2 linked regions of the Lonchura striata genome follow. The protein of the gene in region 1 purifies or fractionates together with the protein of each later gene. This does not show direct contact. Links are inferred from orthologs where the notes say so. Each region holds a gene or a part of one and is shown in the gene's direction. Other genes may lie near its edges. The genes, in order: TJP1 and OCLN.

Region 1 (16,229 bases):
CAGGATCTCCTTTTTGACTTCCAGCCTTTCAAAAGCCTGTTTCTCTTTTATGATATTTTTACAACGGTTCTCTAGTAGTGGGAATTCAGTACTAGATACACTTCTAGATAAAAAGACACAGGCAAAAGAAATATAATTATTTTGAAACTCCCATTTTTCTAATTTGAAAAAAATGGCATGTGTTGTGATTTGTCACAGTATTTTTTCTTAGTTATTTACAATCAGCTCTATTTTCAGACACTAAACCCAGAAACACAGATAGTACCACCCTGAACAAACCCATTGCAATAATTCCTTCGAATGTCTGGAACAGTCTTTGACATGATTAAATGTCTGGAAGACCTACAGCTCAAAATATACGTATGATTTAAGAAAAAAAAAACAAGCCAAGGGGAAAAAAGGGGCTCAACCCAGCCACAGGAGCCAGTTTATCAGCTCATGCAGATTCAGTATTCTCCCTGCCTACAGTAGGATAAAGAAAGACAAAACAGAATTGTAAAGCTGTACACAAGGATTAGAACAGTAGTAAACATCTAGACAAGTTACATGCATTTGTGCCCTTTCTACAAGCAACTATGGGCCCTGGAAACCAAACTTGCTCAAGGAAGCCATCCCCTTTGCCTTACAGGAACTTCAGAAACTTCAACCCAAATGCTCTGCATTTTTTCCACAGATCAGCTTCAACTCTTACAGAGCAGGTGTCTGAACACTACTTCTGAATTTAAATATATACACTCAATCAACTGAATTGTACATACACAAGACTATGTTTCAAATCACATTATTAGAGACAGATTATACTTTTAACATGCAGAAACAAATGAAATAATTGTAGTACTGAGCTTTAATAAGGAGTATTAAAGTTCTAAGGCACTGTAATTTTACCTGTCTTCAATATACATGTCATAATGAAATCCATTCTCAATCGGTGGTCCATAGCATAAGCAGCCCCCAAAATATCCTTCCATGGCCTCTCCAAGAATGTGAGCACTTGAATGCCAATAAACCTGTAAATGAAGTCAAGTGAGCAAACCATGAGGTCAATGGCATTGTGTAACTAAAAAGAAGAAAAAACAAACTAGAGATATCTGCAGATAGGTCACAGACTGGAATCAATGTTGTTCAAATTTTGAGAGAAGTAAAACAACTTTATATTACTCATTTAGAATAATTCAAAATTAAAAGATAATGGCAGATGTAGCACTTAAGGCCCACCATACTTCAGTCTGAAAGAGGATGATTATACCTCTGCACAATTCCTTCAACTTACTTACTGTACCTTGTTTCATTTATAAGGTAATTTCAGTCAAAGTCTATGCACCACTAATCACATCTAAAGCAACGTAGCCAATTAGGTTGCCATTGTTCACATCCAGTACATTTATTAATGGGCCTGTAAACTGCATTACCTGAAATGTCAGAAGAGGGAATCAATAGATCAATACCAGTCTGATGTTCTGACTTCTTATTAATTGAGACTATTTCAGAGCTATTGTTATAAGATAAAGCTTTGACAGGCTCCTGAAATGTCTCCAACAAGCTTAATCCATGAATAATTCTTTCACAAAACTGAAGTCCAATCCTAGTGTATAAAGATAACATAAGCTGCAGACTGAAAAGAAAAATCTCAGTCACATTGCTAAGTATACATATAGTTTAACTGACTATGAAATGTCTACTAAGGATCTAATAAACAGTGCCAGTACAAGGGGGTGTAAATTTTATTTATGACTCAAGTCTAATATTGGACAGTTTTTAGAAAATGGTAGAGACTGCCTCACTCTGCTTTCACTGTCTGATCTTCAAATGCACCAAGCCAAATCACAGACCGTTTCAAGTTAACATACAAATCAAGGCTTTGTGGACAAACTCCTTTGAGAAATAACTTGTTTGTGTAAAAGAGAAGGATGAAAAGAACACAAAGATTTTACTCAGTCTGAGACTATAGGCACTTAGTACCTAATCATAGGAAATACATTACTTGAATAGTTTTGTGGGTTTTTTTAATGTAAGATTTTAAAAGCTTAATGGTGCAATCAATTTTATGTCATTAGTTTCTTTAATCAAGCAGAAACCAGTGTTTTACTCACGGCTTTGGCTTCTTCATTATCAAAGGTGAGCAGCTCTAGAGTACAATCTCCTTCCAGCGGACGGTCCAGATCCCAGAGTTCACCGTTTACTTTGGCTATGACTGCATTTGAAGCCAACACTTGACTAAAGAAACAGAAGAGACAAGAATATTTAGGTTCCAATTTGTAAAAGACTTTAGATTTCTAAACCCCATGAGACCACATGCACATCTTGTAGCATCTGAAGACCATAAACTTTTATTTCTGTGGTCATCTAAAACACTTGCCTACTTTTAAGGTATAGAACCTTAAGGTCTTAAGAGGTTTTGTTCAACACTTTTCAGTGCTGGTGGCCTGGAGGAAAGGCTACTCCTTACAACAAGTTCTACGGATTCAGCTAACTCACAAAACTTCCCATGTCTCTTAATTCCAAGCAGTGCCACAGATGCAATTGGAAGCATTATGATCCCGGCACAGAATCACTGTAACCAGCTGTTTCTACTACATGAAGCTGATGTGCCAATGCTTTCCAAGCAAACCAATTTAAGGGAGCCACCACCCACTGACTGTGAAACATATTTTATATAAGAAGGTAAGAGACAAATGATAGTAACAGTTTTAGCACTACAGAAGTACAACTACTTGAATGTGCAGGTTACCTAATTCCTACAGCTAATTGATATGGTGTGGTTTTCCAAGATTCCCCTTCAACTGTCTCCCCATCTGTCAGAGTAACTTTGATAGATCTGCTCTGGTTGGCTGCTCTGTAAGCTAGCAAAGCATCATGTTCTTTTTTCAGTACTTCATAAAGCTTCAGTCTGTCTTCTATGAAGCTTGGCATACACTGGAGCTGTAACACATAAATTAGATCACACACACATATTTGTGAGACAAGGAGAATAAAAGGATTCACAGTGTTGGTGCATCCCCAGAGGTTCCAACATGTCCAGATTTAACTGTACTAGAATTTACACTAAAATTCAGTAAAACATTTATAAAGAATAATATACAGAATAGTCCCATCCAACTTACTGACTATTTTATAGTGATTTTCTAATTTTCCATGCACTTTCATCAATCTGGGCCTAAATGGGTCTGTGAGCTGGACCTCAGAAAGCAGCTTATACTCCTGACCAATGAAATTTGCATTTGGCAGATGTCCTGGAGAAATCTGGATCACTCCAATAAGCCCTTGCTCCTGCCACTACATTCAAAGCATCAGATTCAAGCCAGACAGTTCACATGAAGGTTCCTGCATTTTAGCTTAAGGTGAATTATTAAGCTCTATTGTATTACAGCAGTGCTGCCAACATCCATTCAGCCATCATGAATGCTTTTTAACTCCTCATGAACCATCACTCTCCTTAGGCACCACAAAACCATGAACTTTATTTTCCAATAACCCAAAGCCTTTTGTTACATAAAATGTAGAGATCTAATAATGTATCAGTAATCCTAATAATGCAAGATTAAGCTCTTGAATAATATGAGGGTTTTTTCCTCTGTGCTATAGCGAGCTTTCATCCCAAAAGCTGGGATTTCAAAATACAGCAAAGTATTTCAGATATGAGCGCCTTTTCTGAAGTTGGCTGAAAACCACTCCTATTACTACGTGGTATTAATGAACCACTTACATCATTCTGGTGTTGGTTCACGGCTTCATCTTCCTTTTTCTTTTTAATTTGATTCGCTGCATCAGCTGGATTTGCACTGGAGACTTTCTGAAAACAGTGATAATACTAAGTAAACCTCTACTATACCTTCAAGTGCTTTTTCCAGCAATCATCAAAACAAACCAAACCAAACCAGTATAATATTGGGCTAAAAAGGCAATTACAGGGAACAAGGTATATCCTCAGTACACAGACTTCTCATGGCACTTCTAAACTGCATCCTTTTGATGTTCTGCAGACACAGCAGTGCTGCTCACCAAGCAAAGTCCTCTCAACACAATTTCCCAAATTTCACTACTACAACTATCACCAGCAAAATCGCCCCAGCGAGGCCGTTGGAGCAGTGAGCAGTCTGTCCAGGGATGCTGTGGATGCCATCCCTGGCAGTGTTCAAGGCCAGGCTGGATGGGGCTCTGATCAGTCTGGTCTAGTGGAAGATGTCCCTGCCCATGGCAGGGGGCTTTAAGGTCCTTCCCAACCCAAACCATTCTATGATTCTGCGAACTCGCCGCCTTGGCGCAAGGGCAGAGACCACTGCCCAGTGCGGGCAGGCACCGCGACAGGCTTCTTCTGCTCCCGGGGCCCGGGCACAGGCGGCTCGGCCCCGTGAGCGCCCCTGTCCCGTCCCTTCCCGCCGGCGGAGGCCCGGCCGGCCCGGGGTCACCGCCCCGCCCCGCCCCGAGCGGCCCCGGCGCTACCTCTCCGCCGGCCGGGGGCTGCGCCGGCGCCGCCCGGCCCAGCTCGGCCGCCAGGCTGCGGCGCAGGTGCAGCAGGCGGTACCGCAGCTTCTCGTTCTCGGCCCGCAGCCGCTGCAGCTCGGGGCTGGCGCTGCCGGGGCACTGCAGCTCCTGCGGCTCCTTCAGCCGGCCGACCTCCGCCGCCAGCCAGCGCAGCTCCCGCTCCTGCCGCGACAGCCGGAGCTCCGCCGCCTCGGCCGCCGCCGCCGCCATGTTGGCCCCGGCGCGCTCCGCCCGCCCCGCCCCGCCCCGCCCCGCCCCGCCCCGCCCCGGCCCCGCCCCGCCCGGCCCGGCCCGGCCCGGCCCTCCCGCTGCCGCCGGAGCCCGCCCGGCGTCCCTGCCGGGCGTTCCTTTTCCCATCGCCCCTTCTGCTCATTGAGCAATCCGCTTTTTGGAGCACCTGCTGCTGTGCCGGGGATTCATCAGCCTACCTGAGGCCGGTGAGCAGCTGGGAAGTGTCGATATCTACAGAATCAGTTGGGGTGGAAAAGACCTCTGAGATCATCGAGTCCAGCCTATGACCGAGGACCGTCAAGTGGACTATGGCTTCATGTGCCACATTCAGTCTTTCCTTGAACGCTTTATTAAACAATGTCAGTGTTAAAACGTGTTGGTCAGATTGCATTCTTATTTGACTTCAATGTCAAATGAACACTGCCGGAGGTTATTTGTAGTAGATGCTTCCTGGCTGACACACTTTCTTATTAAATCAGGCTGATTGAAACTATTCAGCATCTTAGCACAAATTGCAGAACTTAGCACGAAGGTAAATAATTTGAAGAGGGTTGAGTTGCCAGATGTTAGGACTCAGAGCTTGGGAGAATTGTACAATTCCTATTGCACAGCCCAACAGTCTGCTGCATCATTTACAGGTCATTGCAGTTAAATACCTCAGTTCTTGACTCTGGGAAAAGAATAGCTCTCCATCACAAATCTTTCATATCCACCATGTACTTCCATGTATCCTTTTGTCTTAAACACTTCCTTGGCATCTTCAATTTATCTAGTTTCCTGCTTTGATTGTACTTCACACTCACTTTTCTGTGTTCAGTTTCTCAACACACATTTTCAAATTTTCACCTTTAATCTATACTCAGACTTTAAAAGCTGTGGGCTTTTATTACCAAATTGGCAATTAGCAAATCAGAATTTTAGCATTTTATTCTTCTATTTACACAGTGGGAAATAACTATATGGTTTGTGAGAAGGTAGAGAGATAAATTTTGTAACTGTGCGCCACTTGATACATTTCCTATATCACCCATTCTTTGTGATTTTAAGACTTTATAAGAACATATTTGAGGTTATAAGAATATATTCTTTTACCAGCAAAAATAATGGGGAGATTTCTGGCTCAAAACTTGTACTCCTTTAGAAGAAAAAAGTAAATTATTCAGTGCATCAAGTCCAAAGACTCTCCTATAGTGTATACTCACAAATTTTAGGTTCATATACCTCAGCAAACTGGTAACAATGCACTGTTTTCATTTGCAACAATTCTTCTTTCCTTTCCTGAAGAGGTGCAACTTGGCAACACCTTTGTCTATCCCTCACTATAGCAAGGATGTGTATCTTTGAGGTTAGATTGGCAGTTGTGAAAGTAAAACATAGTCTATAGCTTCCTTTAGAAATCTATTTTCATTATGAATTTGATAGGTTACTTGCTATTTTAATTTTTAAATTCACTACTGTGCAGAAATAATTAGTCTGCTTAGGATACTGATGACAAGCAGTGTTATCAGCACAATAGAATAAACACAGATTTGTTTTTTAAATTAAACTCTGAGAAATGTATTCAATTTATATCTTCTGTATCTCATCTTTGGGTAGTGCCTTATGAACTCAAAAACGTGTAACTTTGGGCTTGCTCTGGCATTTAGTGAAGTAAGGAAGAACTTCCCCTCTGAAGGCTGAGAAGGCTGATTCAGAGGATGCTGTCTAACATATGTGCAGTGCCAATATCCTCTATCAGGATCTTTTATTTGCTGAGATAATGTGGTGTTAATTAGTAGAACTTATGAGACAGAAACAATTTGAAGAGAGCAAAAAAATCATACTACCTCTATGAATGTTCAAAGCTAGAGGGAATTTGGAGAGTTAAAGCCTCCTTCCAAAGTCTATCTAGAAGACCTGCCAGATAGGTTGGCTACTTTCTCTGCCCTGTGCAGCTGGTTTAGCTGTGCTCCCTGGCTCGTGGTTAGGATGGCTCATGTTGGGATGGCAGCTGCTTTGCACCATCTCTGTCCCCCCAGAGGGCCCTCTGTGGTGTGTGGTGTGCAGAGCACAGGGAGCTCTACCTGAGATGATCACAGCAGCGTTATGGCCAGTAAGCCATAACATTGTAAACTGAGACAATTAATATTTCTTCAAATAAAACACAAACCCATGGTCCTTGCCCCACATGATGTGTCACACAGAGGCTTGTTGTATCTGCAAACAACCACAAGGTGACAGGCAATGCTGCCAAACAATTCCGTGAAGCCTCGCTGGCTAACTGGATGCTCGCATACACAAGAAGATTCCTGTGTTAGGATATGGTCAGTGGTCAACTTTAATGTTAACTGAATGTACTTGAACTTTAGGAAACAGAAGAAGCCTGAGAGGAGGATACCATGGTTGCAACTTAAGATTACAAGAACAGAAAATATTCTAAAACTCATTGGACTAAAAGCTTGGCAAAATATTTTTGTTTGCTCCACAACAGATAAACTACCCTTTAGAAAAGTGCAGGTAAGGTCACATGAGCAAGGCCATGGATGCATTATCAGTTGGAAGAAATAGAAAAAGAAAAAATAGACTAAGAAACAGGAAGGGGAGGCAGGAAATGTTCATAGCTTTTCCATAGAGGGAATTTATGTTGACAGAAAGTATGAAAACAAGACCGAGAAGTCCATGTACTAAGGATCATTTGCATAAGGGAGGTTATGTAATGTGTGATCCTCAATGAATGATTATCAGTGGCAGAACACCTCCACTGGGATTGCAGTAATCTCCACTGTTAAACCTGGCTCAGGAAACGAATGCTACATGATTTATTTTGCTTGGAAATGGCATAAAAATATAGACATGTAGAAATGTTGTTATTCTTAGTAGTTATGTACTTACCTTGACAAAAAAGGTCTTATTCTGTAACTTTTTTTTTTTTTTACCTTTTGCATATAGGTTTACAGAATATATATAGAAACATGCTTTCTAAATGTGTAATTTCATTCCATATTAAAGCTAATATTTTATAGAAGAACAAGAATTGGATGGTATTTGTACTGTGGTTTGGGTATGGCCTCTGAGGAATATAAAATCAAAGTGTACAAAGGATGCTTTATTTTATGTCCTGTACCAGCTTGTACAGATTATTTCCATTTGATCAGCTGTCTTCTAGAATGAATTATTTTTTGCAAAGAGATATCTTTGAAGATCAGTTATAGAATTAAAAAGTAACAGTAGCTAAGCAATTCTCAGTCTCATCATTATGGTTCAGAAGCTGTTAACAGTTGTAAAGGGCTAATTAGTGTAATGTAATCCTCTTAGGAGGCTGCAGGCATTGAGCTAGATTTCTTTATAATTTGTATGTAGGCCTTCTTCATTCCATTGGTATTACAATAATCACAGACATCAGTATGTATATGCATTCTAGCTATCCACATTATGTTGATTCTGTATACTGAATGCTGCACGAGAAATGCAGAAGTAGAATTTTCTATTTTCTATTTAAATATCAAAATGTTTGGAAGAACAGCCAAGTCTTGGTTTTACAACTGTGCAAAATCTACCAGAAGAGAAAATGAAAACAGGAGTAAGTGGCTCTCTGAAATCCCAAGCAATCAGAGACAGAAAATACTGGAAGAGCTGGATGTGAACAAAGTGCTGTCATATTTGGTTTACAAGAGAGTCTTTTCCTTGGAGGAATACAAAGACATTTGGTCTCAGGAGAGCTACAAGAAGAGAACAGAATATTTTCTAGATAAACTCTATTTAAAAGGCCCAGGTGCTTTCTCTGCCTTTTGTTCCATTTTGGAGGAGGTCTCTCCTAACTTGCTGACATGTTTTCTCCTTGGCTATGAAGGTAAGGTCACTGCTCTGAAATGCTTAAGTGTATATTGGTAATGTCTTGCAATCCTTTGACACTAATAGTTATTTGCTATAATTAGTGTTTACTTTCTCTCTTGCACTAAACCAGAGATAGTATTTACTACCTTTATGGTTTTTAGTTATGAAATAAAAAATAATTAGGAGAAAAAAAATCTTAAATATATTTTATTGTTATACTTAGAACATTTAACCTGATAAAATGCTGAATACTCAAATTGCTGCTATTAATAAATGAAAGTCAGGATGGTGAAAAGGATTTCTAGGTATTACTGATAACGCTTAGATGAGAAATGTAACACTGATTATTTACGTTCCTTACGCTTTCTGAAATATTTAAAAATAGATTGAGAAGTTCTGTAGGCAAAAACCCGAGTAAGTGATCCCGTTCACATTTTTCTTGTTAGTTATTGTATCTGTCTGTAAACAACTGTGTGAAAAAGGGTTGAATTCCTAAATATCAACAATACGAGTGAAATTAATCAAATAGTGATTTGGCCATCAGGCACCAGCCGTACTTATTTGCGGAACAATATTTTGCTAGATATTAGCAAAGGTAATGTGAAAAATGCGTAGGGTGCTTACAATTATATCTTACTGACCTATTTTTATTTTTTGTGTCTGTTATATTCTAAATTTCAGTCTATCAAGTCAACTAGAGTTTTTCTCAGCAATGACTGCAGGGTTGTGCTCAAAGGTTATATAGGGAATGTCCTTTTAGAATGTAATTAAAATAGTCACATCTTTCACTGATCTATTCAGTACCAGGTTTAAGCAACTTAAAATTACAAGTATTTATAAATAAAATAAGTCTGAGTCCTGTAAAAAACATTAATAAACTAAATATGAAAAAATTTGAAATATAAAACCATTTTGACCTTTGAAATAACTAGATTGTGCCCTCTCTTGACAGCCTGATTACTTTTAAAATTGACAGTTGGAGTTCTAATTACATGAGAAAGCAACAGACATTTTACCCTAATTTAATTATGAAAGATGCCCATTTAATGTAGCTTTTCAAGATCAATTTACAATAAGGTTTTATGGCAGTAACAAGAAAATCAAAGGATGTTGCTGGGGAATTTAATACATGTACAAAATACTTCACAGACTACAATGCTATAAAAAAAGCTACCTAGGCCCTCTTTTCACTATCTTTTTTTTTTTTTTTAAGCATAGAAATATAAATACAATTGATTATAAATACATTATAAAGCCAGGTCTTTTGGAATACACTTTTTGGAATGAAAATTTGGGCTTCCTCTGATTTAACTGAAGAGACAGTGCAGGGAGGGTTTTTATTCTATGCCATCTAAATAGATCATGCAGGGGCCTGTCACAGAACAGATTTCAGTCTTCCAGTGGGTACAAGGTTTGGGGGTAGCACTGCTCTAAAGGGGATGGCCTCAGCAGAGGAGTGCAAGTCAAGGACTCTGTCTCCCTGACAACATCACAGGAGATACAGAGAAAAAGGAGAAAGCAAATGCCACACATTTCCAAGAGTAAAGGATACTGTTGGAACAGCATCCCAATCCATTCTGTCTGTGCCTTGTGCAGGCAGAAAAATGCCTCAGGCTGCCTTAGCTCAGCCACTATTACACTCTTTCTTCCTTCCCCTCCCCCAGTAGTGCTTATCAAATATGCAAAGCTAGTTTTAGAATCTGCTTTTGCTAGTAATAATTGACTGGATAACAGGCAAAGAAAAACACATGCTATATATACACATTAATTCATGCAAATAATCTGTTTAAATTCATGCACACATACATTGCAGATTCAATTAAAATGCATTATGTGTTCTGGCATTGTGGATTTTTATAGATCAATTTTGATAAACCGTGTTACAAGGTGCACAGAAAGATGTGATGAAAAAGAACATTGTTCATTATTTCCATTACCATAATTTTCTTCTCCATCCTCTAAAAGCTGACTGATAGGGCAAAGGAATCAAGAGGAAGGAATGCAGTCTAGATGCATGACGAGAAGCTGCTATGCCTGTGCTATGTGGCATCAGCACTACCAGAGCAGTGCCATCCTGCCCACTGTACTTGTTAAAGACACTCTTTGTGGAAGGCTGACTGAGCACACAGAATAGAATCAATTCCTGTTATTGATCAGCTGCATGTACAGTGGGACCAGTTTCTGTTCTCTGGACCTGTCCCTGTTGGCAGATATGGTTATTTTAATGGGTTTCCATTGTCTGCATGCCCTACAGAAAGGACCATTTGACAGGTGCTGGAAATGTGGCATGACTCCAAGAGGTCACTCAGGCTGTGGATTAATGTGGCTCACTGCAAGTACTGTGAACTGTGCTAGTGAAATGTGGCCACCGAAGGATATACTGTTGCTTGCACATAATTGTTTTAATACTTTGAACTCTTTCACCTCATAATTTCCAATAATTACCCTCACAGTAACTTAAGTGGCGTTATAGCCCCACTGATGCATCAAGATTAGTGACTTGATTAGTTTACTTACAATTCTTCCTATAATATAAAACAAAGCCCCTAGTGATTTCATGCGGAGAAACAGTTGGTTACTACTTGCCCATATGATACAATAGAAAGTCAGCTCTTCATTGGCCAGGAAGAAATTTACATGGAGTAAGACTTTTTATTATTTCCAAATTTCTATAAATAGTCTGACCTATATATCTCAGGTCTATTGGAAATATGAATAGGGAAACAACTTTATGAATATAAGGTCAAAAGACACTGTGTTTACCTATATCAGTCACTTATCCAAATGTAACATCACTGACAGAATTACATCAAATTGTAGATGTTATTTTTAATTATGCATCAGCTATTAGAGAAATTTCTTTGTTATCCAGACCATTTGCATTTCCCAGCGTTATCAGAGCAAACAAATCTGAGAGCTGTAGCAGAGATGGAGCTTCACGAAACCTGTCAGATGAGTGACCAAGAAGGAAGCCTTTCTGCTGAGGAGCAACTGAACCAGTCATTCAACAAATACAGGTTAAAATTATCACTGTCATGATGTTTTTAATAATCACAGCATTTCCTAAGACTTAATTTCTGCATAAGTGAAGTAACATTGAAACTTTCAAGGGTTTAATTGCATTTGATTTTACCTGGCATTTGTAAAATACAATTCTGCTTTGTATAAAGAACATTTTGGATGTTGATTTTTGAATGCTGTTGAATGCTGGGAATTATCCCTGGTCTTTGCTACAGGTATTCAGTAGTGATGTAATGCATTGATGACATTGCTAGTTTTCAGTGTTCAAGGGCTAAGTACATATGTAGAAGAATATTTTACTCATACATTTTCTTGGAGTGTGGCAGACAGCCTAAGTTAGTATCACAGTTTCTGTTATTTTTATTTACTTTCAGATGAATAGAAACTATTCATATATATAGAGGAAGACCTATGTAAGAACAGCATGTAACCTGATACATGCTGTGATACTGGGATTTAAGTCTCTTCTTCAGAGATTTGAACATAAAAGGAGGAGAAATAAAACCTTGGAAAATCCTAAAATGCTTCAATTGATGTAGTTACTATTCAGTTCCAGCATTTGCAGTTGTGTGTTTGGAGTCATGCTTTGCCTAATTTGATATGGAATCTAGCTGAGAATGGACTACAGCTCACAATAGCTCATTAGCTGTTAAGAAATTCTGTCCAACTAAGACAGAAACATTCTGAGAAATGTCTTGAAAAATCGTTAAAAGCTGTCCTGTTTTGATGTGCTAGTAGCATATTAAGAGCAAATGATGAAAGCTTCAATACTATTGCATGCCTAGGTTAGTTTTGTTAAGTTGGAGCTAGTGTCTGGATTACGTTAGTTTTTAGAAATGTAATAAAAATTAATGACTCTGAAATGATTGTGAAACAATTGCAGTTGTATGAGGTTGAACTGATCCTGAGTAGTAGTGAAACATGAAATGATAATAGAGTAGTATTTGCCAAACTGTACAGTATGGGCTGATCTATACCCACAATTAATAAAATCCCAGTCAGAACTCACTTTTCATTAGACATTCACAGGAGTTCCAGGAGACTTATAGCCATTCACTGTCTGAATATGTGCCATTTGGATTTTAAAGGTCCTCTAACTGCACAAAACAATTCACTTACAAAACCAAACCAATTAAGAAGTGCCTGAAACTAAAGAATCACATTAGGGAAATAATGGACAAAAAGGAAATCTTTCCTGAAGTCAGCTTGTATAGTACAATAAAAATGTGGTCTATAAAACAAGTGAAATTCAGTAAGGTTGAGGTTTTCCTATTGTGATTTGGTTTACAACTTTTCAGGGCAAGCAGCTTATCTATGAATGCCCTCACAAAAATACTAGACAGAAGTACCATATTGCATGATTTCTGCAAGTCAGTGCTAAGGATATGTTCTTGGTCTGGTTTGGAGGACAGAAATTATTGTCCTGGTTCTGTTTATTGTCCTCTCTGTACCTTCTTTCCCAGAATACCCTCTTCAAAACAAGACAACCTCTATTAGACTAATGGATGGAATTATAGGTTGGGTCAGTAATTGCCTGAATATGACCTCAATTAGTACTGTTTTCAATACATTTTTGGTGTGAGTTGTTCTTGTTGCCTTTTGGTTTTTTTGGTTGGTTTGTTGTTGTGGTTTTTTTCTATTTATTTCTCAAGCATTACTGGACAGTTGGTGCTGATCCTATGAAAATCATGAAGATATGATAAAGAAAATAATTACTATTTTCCTCAAACTTTCGGTTTTCTTCTTTAACAAAATTTTATATTCTCCTGTTGACTGAGAACTAAAATGCTGAAGCAGGTAACTCTCTGTAGTATTAATAGTAAATACAGATGTTTCTTTCCCATGTATTAAGAAGAGATTGTGTTACAAAGGCTCTCAAATAAATTATCAGAATAAGTGATATCCAAACTGTGGAAATCAGATACTATTTTTGTAGTTGTTATAAAACAAGCTGTCCATTTTCACAATGTGAGCAACAAGAGATTTTTGCACGCAATTTTTCCATTTTCCTGTAAATGGATTATGATTATGTGATACATCCTTTATAGTGCATGTAATTAATTCGTGTTTGAAGTATCATTTATGGATTTCCCAGTTTTGTTATAATTCTAGAATGTCTGAGTTCCATTGTAGAATATGCCTTTCTGAATCTATTGGAATTGTGGTTTACAGCTCTTAAATAAGTTAAGTTTCAACATTAGCTCAGTTGGTTAGAATAAGGTGCTAATAACACAACCAAGGTCGTGGGTTCAATCCATGTATGTGATTGCCTTAAGTTACTTAAGAGTTGGACTTGATGATCTTTGTGGGTCCCTTTCAAGTCAGAATATTCTGGAATCTGTCATTTGGAAATTAACATTTTGCACAGGGAAACAAAGCTCATGTGTGGCAAAACTTCACTGCTAATGATAAGTTCTATTGTAAAGCTGAAAGTCTTTGCCTTGCTTTAAATAACAAAAAATAATGTATACAAAGTATGTAAACATCATCTATTCAGAAAAAAAGTGCAGATCTAGGCCACAGCACAGATTTTTATGATTTTTTTTGACAGTTATATATTGGCATCTGACACCTCTGAACATCATTACTAATTTAGGTAGTAGAGTGTTTATGTAATTTTTGCATGTGTTTTCTGTTCCTTCAGAAACTTAATAACAATAACAATAACAATAAGCATCAACAAATGCAGCATTTGGCAGTTAATACTGAACACTAGTACTTGTCTCCAATAAAGCCCTGTTCAGTGGTGCCACTAGATGGTACTGCACCACAGTACAATTCCTTGGCTCCCTATTTGAAATTATAACTGTGAATGATTAATTAGAATTGCAACAATCGCATAATGACTTGTTTGCCCAGTTTTCCTAGACACAATACACACACACACACGCACAGAGATGCAGAGGATACACACAGGGCATTTAGGAGTTTTTGGTTTGATTTGCTAGCATCAATAATGAGCCAATGTTCCTTATCAACCCATACAAATGTAACTTTGATGTTTCAAAAGCATAGTGGCAAATACTTCCTTTCCTTCATTCAACTGGCAAACAAAATTCAGAGGTTCTTCCCCAATAGGAATAAGGGGCACCCAAACACAAACCAGTGAAGAGTATGAGCACAAATTCAGAGATATGATAATTCTCACACTTCAGGAACTTTTAATTCCTTGCTATTTGGAGACCTTCATACCCATGTTCCATATGCAAACAGCAAAGTTAAGTGCACTGTAGTGGTAAATCAAGTCCAAACCCAGTAAAAAAGCCACAGCTATTTAATCATCTAGGTTCTATTTGTGTGGCTATATTCACTCACCTCCAACAGATTAATATATGTTAACTGGTTTTGCATGTTTATGAAAACAAATCATATTACCACAGACTTTCTACTCATCTTCTGCAGTTTCCCTACTGAACTGCTGTATTGGGTCCTGAGTACTGGATCACAAGGCTGTGTATTGTTAAACTATCTATGCTCTAAAAACCTTTTTCTATGTCCCAAATATTCCTTTAGCAAAGGCTCTTAGTGTCCTACCTTCAGTGTGAAGTCAGACTTCTGAGGTTCATTCTCTCTTATGTGTGTCTGATCACATGAAAAGGGATATGTAACATGGGGGTCAAATCACATGACAAAGAACCTAAGTCTGGACTGCATATAGAAAAAATCCCTTTTGAGAAGACCTCAGTTAATGTAGAATCTTGATGGAAATCACAGAGTCCTCCACTGCTGGGAAATGCCAAACAATCCCCTCACTTCCTGCCCAGTGTTTCAGGCACAGAGGAAGGCACACATCAGGTTGATCATCTCCTGCTGGAGTGCAGATCAGAGTGCAAGGGATGAGGCACAACACAGACCTGCAGATGATTCTTACACAGGAAATCCTACACCAGGGACCACACAGCTCCTCAGCACCGTTACAGACCCATCCTGAATGCCACATTCCCCAGCACCAAGGCTTCAACCACATCAAACACTGGGACAATACAGAGAGAAGTCACCAGTACAATTCTGCAGGGGATTGTTTTATCCTAACTCAAAAATTGATTGGAAGAAGATCTTAGCAGTGAAGTGGAAAAATTTGCTGAGGATGTACATTTACTCAATGTAGGTTGTGTGAGAGCTGTGCACAGAACTGTAAATGGGCCTTAAGATTAAGTGACTGGTTGATAAAATGGCAGAGGACATTTAGTGTAGATAAATGTGAAATTATATACATGGGCTAGTGTTCTTGGCTTTATGAATAAAGTGATGAACTCTGAGTTGCCTGTTACCACTCAAAGTGAAAGTTTTGGATTGTGACAGATAGACATTTTCATTAAAATGTCAATTCAGTGCATGGCACCAATCCAAAAATACAAATGTTTGTTAGGAAAAGAAAAAGAACAAACCAGGAAACATAATTATGCCAGTCGATATATTTGCTTGCACCTGGAATACTGTGTGCTGCTCTGGTGCTTGCACCTCATATTTTCCTACTTCCAGTGATTACTCAGAGAAGCAGTTAGTCCTTGAAGAGGTTTTAGGATGTGCTTGGAGTACAGAGCTCCTTAATGAATGGTCATGTTTTTCTCCACATCTGAGTGATTTGGAGAGGCATTGGAAATAGAAAAAAAGTCCTGCTCTCCTAATGAAATTGATGTGTGAGAGAAAATTCTCATGGATTATGCACCTCCTTGTGCAAG
Region 2 (15,401 bases), on another chromosome or scaffold:
GGGTGAGACCGCCGGGCTCGTCCCAGAAAATGGGGAAAATCCCGTTACAAATGGGGGGAAATCATTAAAACAGGGGGGAGAAATCCACTGAAAGCCATTAAAATGGGAAAATCCCCATGAAAACTGGGAGAAATACATTAAAATTGGGGAAAATCCCATTAACACTGGGAAAAAGCACATGAAAACCAGGGAAAAATGGGGAAACCCCATTAAATCTGGGAAAAAGCTGAATGAATTGTGGAAAATGCAATTAAAACCAGGAAAACCCCTATTTGAAACTGGGAAAATTCCCATTAAAGCCTGGAAAAAAAGAGGGAAAAACCCATAAAAACCAGGGGAAAATGGGAAAAACCAGGAAAAATCCTATTGTGAAGTCCATCCATGGGCGATTCCCGGGATTTGGGGCTGCAGGTGAAGAACGCCGCTGCCAACGTGCTCAGGGAAACGTGGCTCATCTACAAGCACACCAAGCTGGTGAAGAAGATCGACCACGCCAAAGTTCGGACCCACCAGCGTAAGTTCCTCCAAGCCATCCATCAGTAAGTGCCGCCGCTTTTCCTGCTTCCTTGTCACCCCCCGTCCCCAAAGTGTCCCCTCCCGGGTGGGTGACAGGTGGGCCCGGGGGGTGTCACCTGCCTTTGGTCTCTTGTCCCCTGGTCTTGTCACTGTTCTTTGTCCCCTGTCCTCCATTCCAACTGTCCCGCTCGCCTGGCCTTGTGCTGTGTCCTGTTCCTGTCCCCATTCTTGTCCCTTGTCCTCTGTCCTGTCCCTGTCCCTACTTTTGTCCCTTGTTCTCTGTCCTGTTCCTGTCCCCATTCTTGTCCCCCAGCCTTGTCCCCACTTCTTGTCCCCATTCCTGTTTCCCTGTCCCCCATTCCCACTGTCCTTGTCCCCTATCCTCTCTCTTTGTCCCCATCCCTTGTCCCTGTCCCCCAGCTCTGCTGTCCCCCATCCCTGTCCCTGTCCCCCCATCCCTGTCCCTGTCCCCACCCCCTGCTGGGGACACCAGACCTGTGGGGTGACCCCCGGGCCCCCATCTCCAGGGTGGGCTGTGGGGGTTACCGGGGGTGGCCTGGCTGGGACAGGGGTGTCCCTTTTGGGTCCCCTTTGGGGTCCCTTTTGGGGTCCCTTCGGGGTGGGGGTGGTGACACTGCTGCGCTGTCCCCTCGGAATTAACCCTTTGTTTTGTGTCCCTTGTGCCACCCCGCAGGGCTCAAAAGTAAGTGTCCCCTCCCCTCCCTCCCAGCTCTGCAGGGGATGGGGGGGACACCCCAAAACTGCGGTGACCCCCCCGGGGGCTGCTCTGGGGAGGGGCTGCTGGGGGTGACAGAGGTGACAGGGGTGACAGGGGTGACAGGGGTGACAGCAGTCCTGGGGGTGACAGAGGTGACAGCTATCCCAGGGGGTGACAGCACTGTTGGGGGTGACAGAGGTGACAGTGCTCCCGGGGGGGGTGACAGTGTTCCCGGGAGGGTGACAGCGCTCCGGGGGGGTGACAGCGCTCCAGGGTGTCCCCAGGTCACCGCTGTCCCTGCAGGCTCAGGAGTGTGAAGATGGAGCAGCGCAAGCTCAGCGACCAGGCCAACACCCTGGTTGACCTGGCCAAGGTGAGGGGACGGCTTTGTGGGGTCACAGCTGCCCTGGACCCCCGGATCTGTGGGGTCACAGCTGTCCTGAACCCCCGGATCTGTGGGGTCACAGCTGCCCTGAACCCCCGGATCTGTGGGGTCACAGCTGCCCTGAACCCTCCTGGGCCGTGCCTGACCCAAACCCCACTGTTGTGGACTTCTGGGTCCATCCCTGACCCCAAACCCCTGTTGTTCTAGTTTTTGGGGCTGTCCCTGACCCCAAACCCCCGTTCTGGTTTTTGGGTCCATCCCTGAGCCCAGACCCCCGTTGTTCTGTTTTTTGGGTCCATCCCTGAGCCCAAACCCTCATTGTTCTGGTTTTTGGGTCCGTCCCTGAGCCCAGGCCCCCGTTCTGGTTTTTGGGGTCCATCCCTGACCCCCGTTCTGGTTTTTGGGTCCGTCCCTGACCCCCGTTCTGGTTTTTGGGTTCATCCCTGACCCCCGTTCTGGTTTTTGGGGTCTGTCCCTGACCCCAAACCCCCATTGTTCTGGTTTTTGGGTCCATCCCTGACCCCCGTTCTGGTTTTTGGGTCCATCCCTGACCCCCATTGTTCTGGTTTTCGGGTCCGTCCCTGAGCCCCGTTCTGGTTTTTGGGTCCATCCCTGACCCCCGTTCTGGTTTTTGGGGCTTTCCCTGACCCCAAACCCCCATTGTTCTGGGTTTTGGGTCCATCCCTGACCCCCGTTCTGGTTTTTGGGTCCATCCCTGACCCCCGTTCTGGTTTTTGGGGCTGTCCTGCCCCGAGCAGACGCAGGCGCTGATGTCGGAGCTGCTGGCCGAGCTGCAGGAGCGCCACGAGGAGCTGGAGAAGCGTCTGGGGGCCCTGGAGGCGCAGCTGGAGGCGCTGGGGCTGCGCCTGCTGGCCCTGCCCGGGCTGGTGAGCCAGGCCCTGGGCCAGCCGCGGCCACCGGGGCCGGCGGGGACAGCGGGGACAGCGGGGACAGCGGGGACACCGGGGACAGCGGGGACAGCGGGGACAGCGGGCACAGCGGGCACAGCGGGACTGTCACAAGCACCGCGGCCACCAGGCACACCGGGACCACCAGGGACACCGGGACCACCGGGGACACCGGGACCACCGGGGACATCGGGGACCTCGGGGACGCCGCGGCCGAGCGCGGCCACCGCCCCCTGCAGCCCCAGCCGCGACCCCCGCGCCGCCCCCGACAGCCCCCGGCCCGCCTCGGACAGCGGCTGAGCGGCGGCGGCACCGGCGGCACCGGCGGCACCGGCGGCACCGGCGGCACCGGGGGGCACCGTTTGTCCCCTCGTGTCACCTCGGGCAGCGGCCGCGGGGCGCTGGGGTCACCCCCGTGTCCCCTTCCGTCACCTGGGACAGCGGCTGGGGATGAGGGGGGGACACGGGGGTCCCTCTGTGCCACCTCTGCCACCTCACGGGACAGCGAGGGGGCGTGGGGACACCCCAAGGTGGGGACACCCCAGTGTGGGGACACCCCAATGCGGGGACACCCCAGTGTGGGGACACCCCAGTGTGGGGACACCCCAATTTGGGGACACCCCAATGTCCCCTCTGTCACCCCCCCCAACTTTGGGCTGTGCATAATGGGGGGGGGGGAGGTTGGGGACACCCCCAGACCCCTTTGTGTCCCCCCACGCTGTGAGGGCAGTTTCGGGGTGCGGGGGGGTCGCAGAGCCCTTTGTGCCCCCCGGTTTTGGGGTGCGGGGGGGGGGTCGCAGAGCCCTTTGTGCCCCCCGGTTTTGGGGTTTGGGGGGGGTCTCAGAGCCCTTTGTGCCCCCCGGTTTTGGGGTTTGGGGGGGTCGCAGAGCCCTTTGTGCCCCCCGGTTTCGGGGTGCGGGGGGGGTCTCAGAGCCCTTTGTGCCCCCCGGTTTTGGGGTTTGGGGGGGTCTCAGAGCCCTTCGTGCCTCCCGGTTTCGGGGTGCGGGGGTCCCCGTGTTTATCTCTGGCCATCGTGTGGCCGTGCCCGTAGCTTTGTTCTGGAAAGCTCCGTATAAAAACCTCCTGCGTTCACTGTGCTGGGCCCCCCAAAACCCCCCCAGGGCCCCCCCAGATCCCCTCGGACCCCCCGGGAACCCCCGGCACCCCCCAAACAAGGGGAGCCGAGCTGAGCTTTTTTGGGGGGGGGCTGGGAGAGGGGAGGGGACGGGGGGGACAATCCAGGAGCCCTGAGCGGTTTTGGGGGGGTGGGTCTAAAATTTGGGGACTGGGTGGGGGGGCTCGGAGGGGGGGAGGGGGAAAGAGAGACCCCCGTGGTGACCCCCAAAATGGGGGTGGGGGTGTATTTTTGGGGGGGGGAGGGTTTCTCCATTCCTGGCTCCGCCCCCAAAGTGACCTTGGAGACGTCACCTCTCTGTGCCTCAGTTTCCCCCAGCTGGAAAATGGGGGTGGGTGGGTTTGGGGGGGCACCCCTGGATGCAATACTGAGCCCATCCCCGACCCCCGGGGTGGGTCAGGACCCCTCCCCACAGCCCTGGACCCCCCCCGGGTCCGGTTCTGCTCCACCCGCGGAGCTGGGGGGGTTTGGGGGAATTTGGAGTTTTTTGGGGCAGTTTTGGGGGGGGCTGAGGCGCAAATTAAAGGAGCCTGAACTGGACGTGTCGCTCTCTGCTTGACCTGGAGGGTCTGGGGGGATTTGGGGGGCTTTGGGGGGATTTGGGGCATTTTAGGGTGGTTTGGAGGAAATTTTGGAGCGGTTTTGTAGGGATTTTTGGGGTGTTGGGGAGGATTTTAGGGGATTTGGGGAGATTTTTAGGATTTTGGGGGTGGATTTGGGGAGATTTGGGGGGACTTTTAAGGATTTGGGGGGATTATTGTGATTTGGAAGAGAATTTAGGGGGTTCGGGGGGATTTTTGAGGTTTTGGAGTGCATTTGGGGGGTTTTGAGGTTTTGGAGCAGATTTGGGGGGATTTTTGGGGGTTTGGAACAGATTTGGGGGGATTTTTGAGGTTTCGGGGCGGATTTTGGGGGACCCCTGACCCTTTTTGGGGCCCCGCGGCCCCAGAAGCGTTGGGAACGCTCAGGGGGGTGGGGAGGTGGTGGCCCCGTGCGACAATCGGGGGAAACTGAGGCTGTCAATGATTAACGCGCGGTGCCCGGCGGCGGTGGCACCGCCGGTGGCACCGGTGACACCGCTGGTGGCACCTCTGGTGGCACCGCTGGTGGCACCGCTGGTGGCACCGCCGGTGGCACCGGGGAGCAGCCGGGGGACATCGCGCTGTGCCCGGGGGTCGCGTGTGTCCCCTCCCCATGCGACGGGCAGGTGAGGGCGGTGGCGGGGAGGGGACAGTGGCCATTGTCCCCCGGGGCTGGCAGGGGGACAGGAGGGGACACGGGGTCCCTGAGCGTCACCCGTGGCTGTTTCCCAGCCAAAGGTGTCCCCAAAGGTGTCCCCAAAGGCGTCCCCAGATGTCCCCAAAGGTGTCCCCAAAGGTGTCCCCAGAGGTGTCCCCAGAGGTGTCCCCAGGTGTCCCCAGATGTCCCCAAAGGTGTCCCCAAAGGCGTCCCCAGATGTCCCCAGAGGTGTCCCCAAAGGTGTCCCCAGGTGTCCCCAGGTGTCCCCAGAGGTGTCCCCAAAGGTGTCCCCAGGTGTCCCCAGAGGTGTCCCCAGGTGTCCCCAGATGTCCCCAAAGTCGTCCCCAGGTGTCCCCAGATGTCCCCAGAGGTGTCACCATGGCCGGAGGTTGTGTCCCCAAAAGTGTCCCCAAAGGTGTCCCCAGGTGTCCCCAGAGGTGTCCCCAGGTGTCCCCAAGTGTCCCCAGGTGTCCCCAGCTGTCCCCAGGTGTCCCCAAAGGTGTCCCCAAAGGTGTCCCCAGAGGCGTCCCCAGCTGTCCCCAGGTGTCCCCAAAGGCGTCCCCAGGTGTCCCCAGCTGTCCCCAAAGGTGTCCCCAAAGGTGTCCCCAGCTGTCCTCAGAGATGTCCCCAGCTGTCCCCAGAGGCGTCACCGCCGCCGGACGATCCATCCCGTTCCCGGGCCAGCGGAGCCGCGACAATCGGGGACATCCGGAGAGAGCCGGGGACAGTCGGGGACACCCCCCGAGCCACCCCCACCCCTCGGTTCGGGGTTTTTGGGGAGGCCCCGCCACCTTTGTGCCCCCTCCCCCCGCGGGAGCTGCAGTAATTCAACATTACTTAATTCATTAATTATGTTTGGTAATTAACACAAAAACGTCTGCACGGTTTGTTTTTGGGGGGGGTCGGCCCGACCCGGAGCTGCCCCCCCGCCCTTTGGGGACTCTCCTGACCCCAATTTCCCCTTTTCCCCCCAATTTCCCCTTTTCCCCCCAATTTCCCCTTTTCCCCCCAATTTCCCCTTTCCTCCCCAATTTCCCCTTTTCCCCGAATCTCCCCTTTTCCCCCAATTTCCCCTTTCCTCCCCAATTTCCCCTTTTTCCCCCAATTTCCCCTTTTCCCCCAATTTCCCCTTTTCCCCCCAATTTCCCCTTTTCCCCCCGAATTTCCACTTTTCCCCCAATTTCCCCTTTCCTCCCCAATTTCCCCTTTTTCCCCCAATTTCCCCTTTTTCCCCCAATTTCCCCTTTTCCCCCCCAATTTCCCATTTTTCCCCCAATTTTCCCCTTCCCTCCCCAATTTCCCCTTTTTCCCCCCAATTTCCCCTTTTCCCCCCGAATTTCCCCTTTTCCCCCGAATTTCCCCTTTTTCCCCCCAATTTCCCCTTTCCCCCCCAATTTCCCCTTTTTCCCCCAATTTCCCCTTTTCCCCCCAATTTCCCCTTTTCCCCAATTTCCCCTTTTTCCCCCAATTTCCCCTTTTCCCCCCAAACCTCCCCGGGGCTCCCCCGCTGCTGCCCCGCCCCGTTTTTTAACCCCTCCGTGCCCGGTGCTTCCCCCGCCTCCCCGGGGGCGGGACCCGGGGCCGGTCCCGCAGCGCCGCCGCCGCCGCCGCCGCCTCCGCCGCTCCCGGCTGCCATTTTAAGGTGAACAAAGCGGCGGAGGAGGCGGCAGGTGAGCGGCTCCGCGGTACCGGCAGCTCCCGGTACCGGCACCGGCACCGGCAGCGCGGGGAGACGGCGGTACCGGAGCGGGAGGGAGCGCCGGGGGTCTCCGTTCCCCGCTGGGAACGGGCGGGTTCCTCCTTCCCCGAGGCACCGGGGGCCCCGCCGGGCTTCTCTCCGGTACCGCGGGCCGCACCGGAACCGGCCACGGGGCTCCAGAGCGGTACCGACTCCTCACCGGCACCCGGGTCCCCGCCACCGGATTCCAAAGCGGTACCGGGTCCCCACCGGCTCCGCAGCGGTACCGGATTCCAAAGCGGTACCGGGTCCCCACCGGCTCCGCAGCGGTACCGGACTCCAGAGCGGTACCGGGGTACCGGCTCCGTACCGGTACCGGGCTCCCCGACACCGCCGAGCTCCCCTCCGTGCTCCCCCCGGTACCGGAGCCGGCCCCGCGGCTCCTCCCGTGTCCCCACAGCGGGCCGGGACCCCCGAGCCTCCGGTCCCGTCCCCGCCGGCTCCGGTCGCCGCTGCGGGTCCCGGGGGTCCCCGGTGGGGTCAAACCGGGGGATCCAGCCGGGACCGGGGCATTGCGGATCGACGGGATCGGGAACGGGACCCTTGGGCAGCCCCAGAACTGCCCCCGAGCCCCGGTACCACCGGAGCGGGCGCCCGCTTTGCCTTTCCCTCAGGAATTCGCCTTTCCCGCGGGGCTCTGGGGATTTTTGGGGGTCTCTGCGTGTCCCGCGGGGGGCCCCACGTTCATTTTGCTGATTTTAAGACCCCCCCCCAAATTTTCCTCGCGGCTCTGCCTCACGTGACCTCCGGAATTGTCGTGGTTTGGAATTATTTTGATTTTTTATTGCGATTATTTCGATTTTTAATCCGGGATCAGCTCGGCCCCCCTCAACCCCCCGCCGCTTCCCATTCGGGAATTCCAAAAATCCCGATTAATTCCCTGCCACCTCCGGGCTGTGGGGACAGGGAGGTGACACCGAGAGTCCGGCGTGGCTGGGGTGGCACCGGCTGGTGACTCACCGTGCCTCAGTTTACCCACGTAAACCCGCGGTGACTCCGTGCCTCAGTTTCCCCATGGAACTTCTGGGGCGTCTCCAAGGTTTTTGTGGGGAGGTGTCTCCAGGTTTGTTTTTTTTTTTTTGGGAGGGAGGGTCTCCGGATTTGTTCCTGGGGTCTCCAAGGTTTTTTATGGGCGTGCTCCGAGGCTTTTTTGGGGGTGGTCTCCGAGACACTTTTGGGGGGCGTTTTTCCAGGTGTTTTTTGTGGGGTCTCCAAGGTTTTTTTTGTGGGGTCTCCAAGGTTTTTTTGTGGGAGCTCCAAGATCTTTTTGTGGGGTCTCCATGTGGTTTTTTTTGTGGGGGACTCCAGGGTTCTTTTGTGGGAAATTTCCCAGGTTTGTTCGTTTGTTTTTGTGGGACCTCCAAGCCTTTTTGGCGACTCCCACTCCGGGTGGCGACTCCCTGCCTCAGTTTCCCCGCGGTAACTCCGGCTGGGCGGCGACGGCGACAAAGGGACCAAAGTCCTTCCCTTGCCACCCTCCGCGGGTGCCAAAACCGTGACAAAACCCTCCGCGAGCGGCTCTGTCCCCTCGTCCCCCGCAGGGATGTTCCCCAAGAAACTCTCCGACGGCCCCGCCGGCGGCTACGGGCCACCCCCGGCCACCTCCTACGGGCCACCCGCGGGCGACTACGGCTACGACTTCGGGGCCCGCTCGCCGCCGCCGGGCTCCTACTACGCGGAGGACGCCCCGCAGCATTTCTACCGCTGGTGCTCGCCGCCGGGGCTGGTGCGGCTGCTGGCGGCCGCGGTGCTGCTGCTCTGCGTGGCCGTGTTCGCCTGCGTGGCCTCCACGCTGGCCTGGGACTACGGCTACGGCTACGGCGGCGCGCTGGCCGCCGGCCCGGGCGGCTACTACGGCTCGGGCTACTACGGCGGCGGGCTGGGCTACGGCTACGGCTACGGCGGCTACTACGGCTACGGCGCCGCCAGCCCGCGGGCGGCCAACGGCTTCATGATCGCCGCGGCCGTGCTCTGCTTCCTCGCCCAGCTGGGGCTCTTGGTAGCCAGCCTGAGCAAGTCCAGCGGGTCGCGGTCGCGCCGCTTTTACCTGGCGGTCACGGTGGTGAGCGCCGTGCTGGCCCTGCTCGTGCTGGTGGCCAGCATCGTCTACGTGGTGGGGGTCAACCCGCAGGCGCAGATGAGCGGCGGCTACTACTACAGCCCGCTGCTAGCCATGTGCAACCAGGTGTACGCCGGCGGCGCCGTGCTCAACCAGTACCTGTACCACTACTGCACCGTGGACCCGCAGGAGGTGAGCGGGGCCAGCGGGCCACCGGGAGGGGGACCGCCGGGAGGGGACGGGGACCACCGGGAGGGGACCGCCGGGAGGGGACGGGGACCACCGGGAGGGGACGGGGACCACCGGGAGGGGACTACCGGGAGGGGATGGGGACCACCGGGATGGGATGGGGACCACCGGGATGGCGATTACCGGGAGGGGACAGGGATTTACCGGGAAGGGATGGGGACTACCGGGATGAGGATGGGGACTACCGGGAGAGGATGGGGACAACCGCAGGGGATGGGGACCGCCGGGAGGGGACGGGGACTACCGGAGGGGATGGGGACTACCGGGATGGGGATGGGGACTACCGGGAGGGGGACTACCGGGAGGGGACGGGGACTTACCGGAGGGGATGGGGACTACCGGAGGGGATGGGGACTACTGGAGGGGATGGGGACTACCGGAGGGGATGGGGACTACCGGAGGGGATGGGGACTACCGGAGGGGATGGGGACTACCGGGAGGGGACGGGGACTTACCGGGAGGGGATGGGGACTACTGGAGGGGATGGGGACCACCGGGAGGGGAACTACCGGGATGGGGACTACCGGAGGGGATGGGGACTACTGGAGGGGATGGGGACCACCGGGATGGGGATGGGGACTACCGGGAGGGGACAGGGACTACCGGGAGGGGAACTACCGGGATGGGGATGGGGACTACCAGAGGGGAACAGGTTTGGGGTTTGGGGTTTGAGATTCAGGAACTTGGGTAGGACAGAGAAAAAAACTGGGATTCAGGAATCAGCCCCGCCCCCTCGCTCACCCCCCCACCCCCGCTCTTCCCCGCGCCAGCCCCAAACTGCAGCGATCCCAAATCATTCCCGGGATCCCGATCCCGCTTTCCATCCCGGTCCCGGTCTCGGTTCAGGTCCCGGTCCCGGTCCCGTCCCTGGCCGGGCCCGCCGGGGCCGCTCCCCCCGGCGGGGCTGGAACTGGAATGCGGCGCTTCCAGCCCGGCCGGTGGGACCGGGAGCGCCCGGGGCCGCCCGGGACCGGCTCGGGATGGGGCCGGAACGGGGATGGGGCCGGCTCTGGATGGGGGCCCGGGGCTGGCACCGGGGGCCCCCAGATCCTGCCCATCCTTCCCAAACCCCAAAACTTTCCATGGCCTTTCTAAATCCCAAACCCTCCTCAATCCCAGACTTTCCCAAATCCTAAACCTTCCTGAATCCCAAATCTTCCCTGTCCTTCTCAAATCCCCATCCTTCCCAAATCCCAAACCTTCATTTCCCGTCCTTTCTGAATTCCAAAACTTTTCAAATCCCAAATTAGAGATTTGGGAAGGACAGGGAAAGGTTTGGGATTTGGGATTCAGGAAGGTTTGGGGTTTGGGAATGTTTGGGATTCGGGAAGGTTTAGGATTTGGGAAGCACAGAGAGAATCTTTGGGATCGGGCTCATCCCCTGCGGCGGGGACTCCCGGGCTGAGAGCAGCGGCGCCAGAACCCCCAAATCCCGAATTCCCGGAATTCCCGGAATTCCCGACTCCCGCATTCCCAGGCCGTGGCCATCGCCTGCGGCTTCCTGATGGTGCTGCTGCTGTGCCTCATCTGCCTCTTCGCGCACAAAACCCGCAGCAAGATCTGGAAGTACGGAAAACACAACATTTATTGGGATCGCCTCCCGGCCGGCCGCCAGGGCCCCGACGTGGAGGAGTGGGTGAGATTTTGGGGATTTGGGGGGTTTGGGGAATGCTGGGAATGGGATCCGGGGGGTCCTTCCCGCCCCTTTTCCAGCGGGGCTGGAAATCCCCAAGTTTGGGATGGGTGCAAAGGGAAGTTTGGGGGATTTGGGGGCACCGGGAGTGGATTTAGGGGGATTTGGGGATTTTAGGGGCATTTTGGGGACTTCGGGGGGAGTTTGGGGACTCCAAGAGGGCTTGGGGACACTGCCAGGTGACACCGCGGGGCGCCGCGCGCGGTTTCGGTCTGGCCAATGATTAACCGGGAGGTGGCACCGGGAAAAGCCGGAGTGGTGGCACCGGGACGGGGACCTTGGGGACATCCCGGGCTTGTGTCACCTGCTGGGCTGGCCCGGGGCGGGGTGGGAATGTCACAGCGCTCCCGCGGGAAGGCTTGGGACAGTGGCTTAGGGGACAGCCCTGTCCCTGTCCCATGTCACCATCCCTGTCCCGTGTCCCCATTCCTGTTCCTGTCCCCATTCCCTGTCCCCTGTGTCCCCATCCCTGTCTCCTGTGTCACCATCCCTGTCCTGTGTCCCCATCCCTGTCCCCATCCCTGTGTCCCCACCCCTGTCCCCATCCCTGTCCCTCTCCCCTGTGTCCCCACCCCTGTCCCCTGTGTCCCCATCCCTGTCCCCACCCCTGTCCCCATCCCTGTCCCCTGTGTCCCCATCCCTGTCCTGTGTCACCATCCCTGCCCCCAGTCCTGTCCCTGTCCCCACCCCTGTCCCCTGTGTCCCCGTGCCACCACTCCCATCCCGGTTTCCCTGGGGCCGCGCTCCCTGCGTCGCTTTTGATTTGATTGGATTTTTTGGTGATTTAATCTGATTTATTTTCTTTCCCATTGTGCTCTCGCCCCGTTTGTTTGGGTTCCTTTGGGTTTATTTGCTCCAGGCCCCTCCCTGGATGAACATTTCCCGTCCCTTTTGGGGACACGCCACCACCCGCAGGTGCCACCCGCAGATAACACCCCCGCCTGCCACCTCCCCCGCGCTTTTTTGGGGTGTCACCCCCTTTTGGGACATCTGAGTCCCCAGATGCCACCACGGCTTGGGGACACACCTGGCGGCCCCCGGGAGGGGACGGGGGAGGAAGTGGCGTGTCCGGCCGGATGTCCCCAAGGCCACCAAGCCGGCGGGGACCGGCGTCCGGCACAAACAACCCACAAAGGGCCGGACGGAAGGGGACAGGGGACAGCCGGACGTCCCTTGTCCCTCTGCGGGGCCACCCCGAACCTGCTGGGTGCCACCCTGAGGGTGCCACCAACCCCGAGCTCTGTCCCTTTGTCCCCTCGTCCCTTCGTCCTTTGTCCCTTTGTCCCTTTGTCCCTTTGTCCCTTTGTCCCTTTGTCCCTTTGTCCCAGTTTCTTCACGGGGGTTTTGGGCTTTTGGCCTTTTGGGTTTTTTGGGGTTTCTGGGTTTGTTGTTTTTTTGGTGGTGGGTTTTTTGTTGTTTTTTTTGTATTGGTTTTTTTTGGTGGTTTTGGTTTTGGGGGTTTCTGGAGTTTTTGGGGTTTCTGGGTTTTGGGATTTTTGGGGATGTGCCTGAAGGATTTGGGGGACTCCAGGTGGGACAAAAACCTCTGTTTCCTATGGATTTTCTGTCAGATTTTTCAGGGAATTCTCAGGGATTTCTTGGTGGATTTTCAGGGAACTTTCAGGGATTTCTCTGGGAATTTCGGTGCAATTCTCAGGGACTTTTCTCGGGGCGTTTCTCGCCGATTTCTCCTTTATCCCGGCTGAGTTTTTCCTCCCGAAATCCCAAATCCCAACCCGTTCTCCAGGTGAAGAACGTGTCGGGCGGGACGAGCGTTCCAGACGAGGCCGCCACGGTCGCGTACTCGGAGAAGGGCGAGACCCCCGGGCCAGCCCCACCCTACAGCCCCCCCGCGTACAGCGACCCCCCCCAGAAGGGCTGGAAAAGGTGGGGAGGGGGAAAAGGGGTGGGGAATGTGGGGAGGGGTCGGGAAAAGGGGTGGGGAAGGGGGAGAAAAGGGAGGAAAAGGGTGGGAAATTTGGGGAAGGGGCAGGAAAGGGGTGGAAAAAGTGGGGAAGGGGCAAAAGAGGGAGGGAAATGAGAGGAGGGGTCGGGAAAAGGATGGGGGAGTTGGGAAATTTGGAGAGGGGTCAGGAAAGGGGTGGAAAAAGTGGGAAGGGGCAGGAAAGGGGTGGGGAATGTGGGAAGGGGTCGGGAAAATTAGGGAAATGTGGGAGGGGTCGGGAAATGTGGGGAGGGGATGGGAAAAGGACGGGGGGTTCGGGAAATAAGGGGAGGAGTCGGGAGAGGGTGGGGAAGGGTCTGAGGGGCCGGGAAAGGGGAGAACCCCCCAGGGCCGTGTCCCCGTGTCCGGTGTCCCCGTGTCCCGTGTCCCCGTGTCCGATGCCGCCGTGTCCCCGTGTCCCCGTGTCCGGTGTCCCCGTGTCCCCGTGTCCGGTGTCCCCGTGTCCCCGTGTCCCCGTGTCCCCGTGTCCCGTGTCCCCGTGTCCCCGTGTCCGATGCCGCTGTGTCCCCGTGTCCCCGTGTCCCCGTGTCCCCGTGTCCCCGTGTCCCCGTGTCCGGTGTCCCCGTGTCCCCGTGTCCCCGTGTCCCCGTGTCCCGTGTCCCCGTGTCCCCGTGTCCCGTGTCCGATGCCGCCGTGTCCCTGTGTCCCCGTGTCCCGTGTCCCCGTGTCCCCGTGTCCCCGTGTCCCGTGTCCGATGCCGCCGTGTCCCCGCAGTGACCCCCCCCAGGACCCCCCCTCGCCCCCCGAGGGGGAGCTGGACGCTGCCCGTCCCCCCTCCAAGCCCCCCGCCCGCCGCGGGCGCCGCCGGGGCCGGCGCCAGCCCGAGCGCGAAGGCTCCCAGTGCTCCCAGTGCTCCCAGTACGACACCGAGCCCACCACGGCCGCCGAGTCCGGCGACGAGCGCGACAGCGAGCAGTGGCACAGGTGAGGCCCGGGACAGCGGGGCTCGGCGTGCCCGTGTCCTGTGTCTCGTGTCTCGTGTCCCGTGTCCCATGTCCCTGTGTCCCGTGTCCCGTGTCCCGTGTCCCGTGTCCCCGTGTCCCATTTTCAGTGTCCCCAGTGTCCCATATCCCATACCCAGTGTTCTCAATGTCCCCATGTCCCATTTACAGTGTCCCCAGTGTCCCCACTGTCCCCATGTCCCATTTTCAGTCTCCCCAGTGTCCCCAGTGTCCCATTTTGTGTCCCCAGTGTCCCCATGTCCCATTTTCAATGTCCCCAGTGTCCGCAGTGTCCCCAGTGCCCCCAGTGTCCCCATGTCCCATTTTCAGTGTCCCCACTGTCCCCATGTCGCATTTTCAGTGCCCCCAGTGTCCTCATGTCCCATTTTCAATGTCCCCATGTCCCATATCCAGTGTCCCCAATGTCCCCATGTCCCATTTTCAGTGTCCCCAGTGTCCCATTTTGTGTCCCCATGTCCCCAGTGATGTCCCCATGTCCCCAATGTCCCCAGTGATGTCCCCGTGTCCCCGTGTTCCCAGTGACGCCCCGGTGGTGTCCCCGCAGGCTGTACCCCCCGATCGGCTCCCTGGGCACCCGCCATACCCAAATGTCCCCGTGTCCCCAATGTCCCCAGTGATGTCCCCGTGTCCCCGTGTCCCCAGTGATGTCCCCGTGTCCCCGCAGGCTGTACCCCCCCATCGGCTCACCAAGCGACCGCCAGCGCTACAAGGCGGATTTCGGGGCGGAGCTGCGGCGCTACAAGGAGCTCTGTGCCCACATGGACGGGGTCAACGAGCGGCTGGCACAGCTGGCAGCACAGCTGGACCAGGTGCCCGAGGACAGCGCCCAGTACCAGGTGTGCCCCGCTGCCCCCGGAGCGCCCCTTCTGCCCCTTTTCACCCCTTTGTCACCCCTTTCTGCCACTTTGTCACCTCCTTTTTACCCCTTTCTGCCCCTTTCCACCCCTTTTTCCTTCTTTCTGAGCCCTTTTTCCTCCCCTTATTTCTCCCCCTACTCCACCCCACTGTCCTGTGCCTGTCCCTCTGTCCCTCTGTCCCCCTGTCCCTCTGTCCCTCTGTCTCCCTGTCTCTCTGTCCCACTGTCCCCCTGTCCCTCTGTCCCCCCGTCCGTCTGTCCCCATCCCTGTCCCTCTGTCCCACTGTCCTCCTGTCCCTCTGTCCCCCTGTCCCCCTGTCCCTCTGTCCCCCTGTCCCTCTGTCCCTCTGTCCCCCCATCCGTCTGTCCCCATCCCTGTCCCCCTGTCCCTCTGTCCCTCTGTCCCCCTGTCCGTCTGTCCCTCTGTCCCCCTGTCCCTCTGTCCCCCTGTCCCTCTGTCCCCCCATCCGTCTGTCCCCATCCCTGTCCCCCTGTCCATCTGTCCCTCTGTCCCCCTGTCCGTCTGTCCCCATCCCTGACCCCCTGTCCCTCTGTCCCCCTGTCCGTCTGTCCCTCTGTCCCTGACCCTGCTGTCCCCACAGGCCCTGGCCGAGGAGTACAACCACCTCAAGGACCTGAAGCGGGTGAGTTTTTCAGGGCTGGACTTTTTTTTGGGGGGGGTCTCCCCCTCTTTGGGGACATCCCCGTGTCCCCAGACGTCCCCTAAACGTCCCCAAATGCGTTCCCAGAGCCCGGAGTACCAGGAGAAGAAGCGGGAATCCAAAACGCTCCGGAACAAACTCTTCCACATCAAACGGATGGTGAGCGACTACGACAAACTGCGGGGCTGAGCGCACAGCCAGCGCCCCAAAAAAGGGACATTTTTAGGGGGACACCCCAAAAAAACCCCCCCGACCCCTCCAAAGACTTTTGTGCCTTTTTTTGGTGTTAAAAAACCCCAAAATTCCTCGTTCTGA

What was found.
Region 2: the proteins of TJP1 (region 1) and OCLN purify together in Homo sapiens (affinity purification with western blotting; 4 studies listed by BioGRID and IntAct, with this or other methods). This does not show direct contact. The link is inferred for Lonchura striata from reciprocal best matches to the Homo sapiens genes TJP1 and OCLN.

The regions. Positions count from the first base shown.
Region 1 is NC_134613.1:9,924,402-9,940,630, reverse strand, and holds the start of TJP1 (tight junction protein 1), read left to right. Parts: upstream 1-8,199; coding exon 8,200-8,542; intron 8,543-11,398; coding exon 11,399-11,543; intron 11,544-16,229. Other genes in the region: threonine--tRNA ligase 1, cytoplasmic, read right to left, coding at 1-103, 886-1,007, 2,091-2,214, 2,729-2,919, 3,704-3,790, 4,441-4,692. UniProt on the Homo sapiens protein: TJP1, TJP2, and TJP3 are closely related scaffolding proteins that link tight junction (TJ) transmembrane proteins such as claudins, junctional adhesion molecules, and occludin to the actin cytoskeleton.
Region 2 is NC_134630.1:7,826,541-7,841,941, reverse strand, and holds the start of OCLN (occludin), read left to right. Parts: upstream 1-8,182; coding exon 8,183-8,890; intron 8,891-10,424; coding exon 10,425-10,583; intron 10,584-12,387; coding exon 12,388-12,546; intron 12,547-13,333; coding exon 13,334-13,530; intron 13,531-14,232; coding exon 14,233-14,404; intron 14,405-15,026; coding exon 15,027-15,068; intron 15,069-15,173; coding exon 15,174-15,275; 3' UTR 15,276-15,401. Other genes in the region: KCNN1 (small conductance calcium-activated potassium channel protein 1), read left to right, coding at 1-2, 412-539, 1,538-1,607, 2,378-2,515, 2,800-2,933, 4,612-4,869, 6,495-6,741, 6,861-7,382. UniProt on the Homo sapiens protein: May play a role in the formation and regulation of the tight junction (TJ) paracellular permeability barrier.